Rhinolophus ferrumequinum: one gene and its partner. The protein of the gene in region 1 purifies or fractionates together with the protein of each later gene. This does not show direct contact. Links are inferred from orthologs where the notes say so. Each region holds a gene or a part of one and is shown on either strand. Other genes may lie near its edges.

What was found. The genes of interacting proteins can lie anywhere in the genome.
Region 2: the proteins of PKN3 (region 1) and ARHGAP26 purify together in Homo sapiens (affinity purification with mass spectrometry; 3 studies listed by BioGRID and IntAct, with this or other methods). This does not show direct contact. The link is inferred for Rhinolophus ferrumequinum from reciprocal best matches to the Homo sapiens genes PKN3 and ARHGAP26.

What each region holds. Positions count from the first base shown.
Region 1 is NC_046295.1:77,464,488-77,468,230, reverse strand, and holds the start of PKN3 (serine/threonine-protein kinase N3), read right to left. Parts: upstream 2,450-3,743; 5' UTR 2,241-2,449; coding exon 2,175-2,240; intron 566-2,174; coding exon 325-565; intron 156-324; coding exon 10-155; intron 1-9.
Region 2 is NC_046307.1:16,801,973-16,805,715, forward strand, and holds the start of ARHGAP26 (rho GTPase-activating protein 26), read left to right. Parts: upstream 1-778; 5' UTR 779-1,125; coding exon 1,126-1,279; intron 1,280-2,250; coding exon 2,251-2,310; intron 2,311-3,743. UniProt on the Homo sapiens protein: GTPase-activating protein for RHOA and CDC42. Facilitates mitochondrial quality control by promoting Parkin-mediated recruitment of autophagosomes to damaged mitochondria.

The DNA of each region.
Region 1 (3,743 bases):
GAGCCTTACCTTGGGGGTGCCACTGGCATACGTGTGGGTCATGTTCTCGGCCCCCTGCTTTACCTTCAGCTCCACCTGCAGCTGCCTCTGCAGAGCCTCCAGGTGCCGGGCCCTTGGCTGCTCTGCCAGAGGCCAGGGTCCCGAGGCCACAGGTTCTGTGTGCATGAAGTGTGGAGCACGTGAACCCCTCACTCCTTCCCTCCCTTCCCCTCCTGGGCACGGGCTACCTGAGGGAGATTCTGAGGGTGGTCAGGACCGAGGCCGAGGGGCTGGGTCAGCCTGTCGCCTCCTGTCCTGCGGGGTCTGCCCAGACTCCTCACTCACCAGCTGGGCCAGGCCCCGGGCTGGGCAGCAGGATGCGGGTGTGCAGCTCCTGCAGCTCGCCGTGCAGCTGCTCCAGACGGCGATTGGAGGATCGTAGCAGCTGCTGCACGTGGCCCAGGTGGCGGCGGTCTGTGGCCACCCGCCGCAGGTTCTCCATACCCTCCTTGATTTTTAGCTCCTTCTGGATGGCCCGACGGATCACCTCTTTCTCATCCTCAGGGGGCCGGTGGCCCACCCCAGGCTGTGGAATGGCAGAGAAGCTATGCCACTCAGTCCCCGCCGCCACCAGCCTCAGCTCACCACAGACAGAGGGAGAGGGAGGCATGGACAGCACCCAGGACTGACGCATGGGGTGTGGGAAGCATCTCTGACCGTGGAGCTAGTATCCCTAAGCCAGGTGGAAACCCCAAAGCTCTTTATCCAGCAGAGGCTCTGGTCCTCCACATCAGAGAGATGGGTGGGGGGGGGGGAATTTTCAACGTTCACGTGATACTACTGGGTGCCCGGTCTGTTCTAAGAGCTTTGCATATGTTAACTTGTCAATCCTGAGAACAACCGCAGGAGGTGTGCAGTTGCTATTTTATAGGTGAAGAAACTGAGACACAGAAAGAGATTAAGTAATCCGCCCAAAGTCACAACAAGGAGATACCACCACCTCCTGGGGCCTAGTCCCGCCCACCCAGTCCCGCTTCATCAGGCTGCTGGAGGGCTGGGCTGCAGGCTAAGACCTGCGGCCAGAAAAGCCGCTAGGGATTCACCCAAGGTCAGAGGCCTGAGTAGAGGCCAGGGCTGTTGCCTTGATGCCTCACCTCAGATGGCAAAACAGAGGCATAGAGAGAGGCTGGGGAGGTCTCCGGGGGCCCACTCCTAGCTCAGCTCCTGGGAGGAAGTAGGCTTTCTCATGACTTTACCCCAGGTTGGAGCAAGAAGAGGAAACCCTCATTCCCAGAGGCCATTTCAGACCATGGGGGGCCAAAGCTGACTTCAGCCCCGGGGAACCCAGGAGGCCCCCATGACTCCTGCAAGGCCTCCACCTTACCTCTCTGCTCTCCATCTCCTGAGCCTAGTAGAAGGGGTGAACACCCTGGCCTCTGGGACCCACCACCCCAAGCCTTCGTGGCCTGCTGGCCCAGCAGTCAGAGGGCAGGGGCGGGGCTCAGGAAATCCTTTGACGGCTCCAGGGGAGAGGGCCAGAGCCAAGGGCCTGAGCAAACAAAGATCCCATGGAGCTGGGGGCCAGGCCACCAGGGTCCTGAGTCACCCAGCTGCCACTGCTGGGCGGAGGTTCACAGGAAATCGGAAAATGTGTACAAGCCTCTGCTGGAACAGGCGGAGGGGCCTCCGGAGGAAGGGGGTGGGAGGGGGCAGACACAGCCCTGAAGGTTGCCTAAGCCGCTGAGGTGGGGGCACTCAGGGCGTCTTCTTGAGGTCTCCTCTCCCTTGAGCATGGTCCATGGTCCTGTCTGCTCAGGGCTGAACTCCGGCCACGTGCACACACACCTCTCCCTCCCCCGTAACAGACGTGCACACAGCCTTGGCCCCCGTACCCACCAGCACTATTGCCAGCTCTGGCAGGAACCCGCCTCCCTCGCCATTAGGGCTGGAACCCTCTGAGTACCCAAAGGTTCCAGCGCAGGCACTGGTTCCCTCCGCCTCGCGTGCACACTCTGCATGCCCACGTGCTCTGGGAAGGCCCCCCACGCCCCACCCCCGCAAGTGCGCAGGGACTGGCCCCTCCCGTCCCCTTCTCCCTGAGCACACGCATTCTTCTTCCCCTAGGTCGCTCCCAATGTGCCCGCATGGCCCCCCTTTGCTTCCCGCGCCGATTCCCATCGGCCTTAGAGACCTACCTGGAAGAACCGATTTTGGGAAACTTTGGGACCCACCCTAGTGGCTTTCACTGAGGATACAGACATGCTCGTGGACTGCCTGGCTGAAGGTTCTGAGCCACTTGGGGTGATTTGGGGAAGTTTCCCGGGTGCATGAAAGACTTAGCCCCAGTGCTCAGTTATGCCCTGCGAGGGGTAGGGCGGCCCGGGGCAGGAGTTGGGAAGGGACACGGGGCAGGGCTGGGGACGCGGCAGGAGTTCCCAGCTCCCAGGGCAGTGAATGAGGCTTCCCCGCCCCCCGCGGCCCGGCCTCTCCCGGTGCTGTTCACCTGCCGCAGCGCCCCCTCCTCCATGGCGTCGCTCCGGCCGCTCGGCCCCTCCTCTCCACCACTCCGGTTCCGGAAGCCCCGGCCCCTCGGCCAAGACTTTCAAACTTGAAACTTCCCGGGAAGCGGCGCGGGAGCCGTACGATCCAGCGCCCCCTCCCGAGGTCCGCGGGCACTCCAGGGACCTGGGATCCGAGACGCCTCTCGGCCGCGACAGATCGGCGCCCGGGACCCCACTCCCGAACCCAAGGCCACAGCGCCTCCCCTCGGATCAGAGGTTCCGCGGGATTTGGGATCCAGCGCCTTCTCTTTCGAGGCCTTAGTTCCGGCTCCTTGTGACACTGACCCCCACCCCAGGATAGAAGGGCAGGAAGGGACATTTCCCCGGCTGGGGTTCTCTGGTTGCCCCGCCGCGCGCTCAGAGGGGCGGGTCCGAGTGGGGACAGCGCCGCCTACCGACTGCAGGGCGCGGCCTGTGTGGCGGGTCGGCTCCTAGACAGCCTTTTCTCCGAACCTCACACCATGACCTGGCTCTGCTCCTAAATTTATCTTCTCAGATGTCATTGGTGTGAAAAGGGCTAATCCCAAACCTGTCGCCCCCAAGAAGTCTTGGCCCTGTCTAGTCACTATAAGAACGTATGCGTCTGAAAAAAGTAAAGTCTAACCCAAGTTATGCCAAATTACAAATCAGATGAACAAACCGAAACGTCTCTTAGGCCCCCACCCCTTGATCCAACTGGAGATTTTCTGTCTCAGCCAGAGCCACTGTTCCACCAGCCCCCTCACAGATTGGAAAGTGAAAATGGCAAGCCACGGACAATTCTGCATTTCCCTGCAATGGGAAATCAACGAAGTGGCATCAATAAATGCAAAGGCAACTTGGTTCAGTGGGGGACATGCCTACATCTCATAATCAGAGGCAAGTCGGGGCACTTTTAACTCATATACGTATTAATCATAGCCTAGCCCAGCACATAGTAGGCTTTTTAAAATGGGAGTTATCAAGCTGTCCTGAGCTGAATGTTAACCATAATTTAGAAAGACTATCAACTTCTGACTGCAGGTCACAGGCTTGAGAAAAACACACCATGAATTGAACTAGCATTGCTCCTGCTTTCAGGAGGATGTCTACTGGATCCTTTATCCCCTCCTACAGCCAGAAAGCTGAACTATGTCGAAGAACTCAAAATTATTTTCCAAGTTTGCTGAGAAGTGTTTCACTGCCTCACTAAGGGAAAGTTCAGTAGCAGAATCCACCCATCCA
Region 2 (3,743 bases), on another chromosome or scaffold:
AGCATACAAAAAAACTGCGGTGTCCCTTCCCTCGTGTAGCGAAGACGACAGGCAGTGGGAGAAATTATGTAAAATTGTGTTCGATGCCGAACAGGAAAACAACAGGCGGATGAAATTCTGATAAGGATATTAGATCCTTTAGCTAAGGGCAGCTGTGGGCGGGTTTTAAAGCCGGAGTGGCTGTGACGCGGCCGGACTGTAGGGGCGGGAAGACTGCAGACAAGAAGAGCTGGTAATTTTAAGATGCAAACATTTTCTCCCTGACTGGAAGGAGCGAGTGCCTAAGGGTCAACGTGGTTGCTTGATACACTGGGGTTTCTCCGGGGCAGGGGCTGCATTTTGAATGCAAACTCGATTGCCCAGCAATACAGGGCGGGCAGAGGGGAACTGCAGCCCTAATTCCCAGTTTTTCGTGCTGGGCACATCTGACCTCCTTCGCTCCCCAGACCTGCAGACGCACCATCTCGGACTCGGACCGGGACCACATCAGGCGGGCAAGATCGTAGGTGATCAGGGCCCAAGCACCGCAGCGATTGCCTCCAAAGCTCTAGGTCTGCACACCGCGCGGGCGGGAGGGGGCGGAGCTTGTGCTGCGGCCCTAGGCGGTGGCGTGGGCCCCGCCCTCTGCCTCAGGCCCCGCCTCCAGGCCTCTCTGATTGGGTCAAAGCCGCGGAAGGGCCGAGCGTCTTGGGAGGTTCGGGGGGTCGGGCTGAGGCGGGCACGCTGATTGGTCCGGCTGGGATTAGGTCATCGCTAGCAGGTTCGAGCGGCCCGGACGCCGGCGGGGCGGCTGAGGCTGCTGTGAGAGGGCGCTCGAGGCTGCTGGAGAGCGAACAAGCGAAAGAGGCGGGGAGGCGGCGGCCGCACTAGCTCGCCCGCTCGCTCGCTTCCCGGCGCCGCTGTAGGTCCGCCGCTCCGTAGCGCGCCGCCCAGCAGCCGGGTCCCGGCTCGGTTCAGGACTCACGCGCGCAGGCGGACACTGAGCGGAGGGCGAGCCGGCGCCACACCTGTGGAGCCGACGGCCGTCAGGGTGCCAGCCCCGGTCCCACTGCGTGCGTACTCGGGGCTGCGGGCCGCCCGGGCCCCGGGGGAGGCGCGCCCCCCCGGCTGGGCGCCGCGGGCACCATGGGGCTCCCTGCTCTGGAATTCAGCGACTGCTGTCTGGACAGCCCGCACTTCCGAGAGACGCTCAAGTCACACGAAGCGGAGCTGGACAAGACCAACAAATTCATCAAGGAGCTCATCAAGGACGGGAAGTCTCTCGTCAGCGCGCTCAAGAGTGAGTGCCCCCCGAGCCCGGCGGGGACGAGGCCCCGGGGCGGGAGGGGCTGTCGGACGGCACTCCCCTGGGCGTCCGTGCGCCGGGCTGCTTTTCTGTCCTCGGGGCACTGAGGGATGGGCGTAGATGCTTGTAATGAGGAAGGAGGGATACGTAAAATGGGCGAGACAGCCACAATCCGTTGAGGAAAGAGACCCGTCTCCCAGCCGTTTGCGTTCCGGGATGGCCCGGAGGTGACCGAGCGCAAGTGGTGCTCTGGGTCACCATGGTGGATGAGCGCGGCACACAGGTGTCCGGGAGTGGGGCTCTCGTGCCAGGTGTGCCACATCCTGTTGGGAATTCCCATCGCATCCACGACTCCAGCTCCCTTGGGGAAGAGTTGCTCACCCTGGGTGTCCAGCCGTGGGACTGGCCTGTTCCCTGCCAAGGGGGCGCTTGCCTTCCCTCGGGAAAAGGCGGCTTGCACTGCTTCGCTCCCTGTACGCAGCTCCAGCCTGCTCAGGGCCGCAGGTTCTCCGAAAGGCACAGGCGCCACCCAGAGAAGGACTGGGAGGAAAGGTTGGTTAGCTAGCGATTCTTTGGAGTATTGGCAGCCAGTACTCCCCAATCTGGAATCAGGGCCACGTACGTGTGCAGGTTCTGATTCTTGTGTTTAGCAGAAGCTGATAGGGGTGGGACTAGAGAATCCGAGTGTTCTTTACTCTAAAACTGTGGGCGAGGGTTTAAAAATAGAATGAATATATCCTGACTCTCTTCCTTTCCCTTCCTCTCCTTTTTAACTCTCCTGTTATCCTTGAAAATTCAAAGATCTGAGAAGGAATGTCTTCGGTCCTCGCTTAGAAAAGAGAAGTTTAAACTCATCCTTCAAGATTCTGTAACATTTTGAAAAAACCATTTTTGCTTATTCCTTTTGGTAGGAGAGAGATGAAATTTGCATTCAGTGTATGATTTTTTTCCCTTGACTTTTGCAGAGCCAGAGAGTTTCTCCTTCCGGCCAAACAAGAGTGCTCTGGGGATGAGTGCCTTGGATTGTAAGATCGTTTTTTTGGTTCCTTTTCAGTCTACCAATTTAAAAATAGTTCAGCCCATCTTTGAGTTTTGAGAATCAGGAATAAGGTGAAGACAGAGTGTGGAATTGTCTTTGACTTTTCTTTTCCTGTCTCTGTGATGGATTTCTTAATAGGTGATACCTTTTAGCCAAGAAAGGTTGTGTTGGCAGAGTAGGGACCTAGCTGTGAGAATTGTTCCCAGGCCTCTTTTAAAGAAGACTTAACAGAAGTCAACAGCCTGAGATGTCATTTTGTGAGCCTGTTATTTCTAAAAATGAAGAGGGAGACAATGGAACCACAGGACAGCAGGTGCCAATCTTTAAGGGGTGAATTAATCATAGAATTGTGAGAAAAGACTCTTCCTTTGTCAATGATCAGGACCTTCTTTGGTTTAGGGAATTCTTGACCCCATTTATAGGTTGGGCTCCCGAAGTTTGATTGAATCTCAGGCTGGCTTCAATTGGGCCTCTGCTTTATTTAGCGAATGTATGGAGTGCCTGCTATGTGCTGGGCACCGAGAATGTAGTGGGGAATAATTCTGCTGCCCTTGTGGCTACAGACTTAGTCCATGCCGGGTACTGCTCCACCTGTGAATAATCTCATGAGCTATTATTCATTTTACAAATGACAGAACAGGTTTGGGGGAATCACTAACCCATAGCCACATAATCCTAGCAGTGGGGCTTAGTTTTGAACCCCCATGTGGGTCTGAGCCCGAGATGGAGGTCCTGCTGATGTAGAGTTCTTAATCCTGCCCCATCCCACTAGCCCAGAATGGACCCCCCGGACCAGGCCTGTTGGAATTTGGACTTGCATTTTGTATCTTGGCCTTGAATCTGAAGAGGGTGCATGTGCGTGACTAGCAATTTATTTGCCTGCTACTGTTTTTTTGGGGGGAAGGGTAAGAATTCTTTGAGTAGAAGGAAACAATGCAGTGATAGGGTTTAAGAGTTACTGAAGTCGTCTAATGGAATGGACCAGCCCTATACCTTGGGGGAAGACTTACGTGGAACTAGAAATTCTGATTTCTGTATATCCAACTCTACTACTAACTATACTCTTATACTAATACTGCTACTTAAACGTGACCTCTTAAAATAAAGAGGATATATTTGATTAAGTACTAGTTCCCAGACTTCAGGCGTTCCATTATTGTTAGGTGCTTGCTACATTGTATACTACTATGTTAGTATTTGTGTACTGTTTTTCTTCAAACGATCCTTATCACTACTGTAAATGTAAAGCAAATGTTTTTAAAAGTAAATACATAATTATACAAGTAACACTGGTTTAGATGATTTACAGTCTCTTCCAGCTCTAAAAATTTTTTTTTATACTTGGTATTTACAGATCTTTGGGTTTAGGTTTCATTTGTGTGTTAATCTGAGGCAGTAAAACTGGCCTCTGGGGATTGC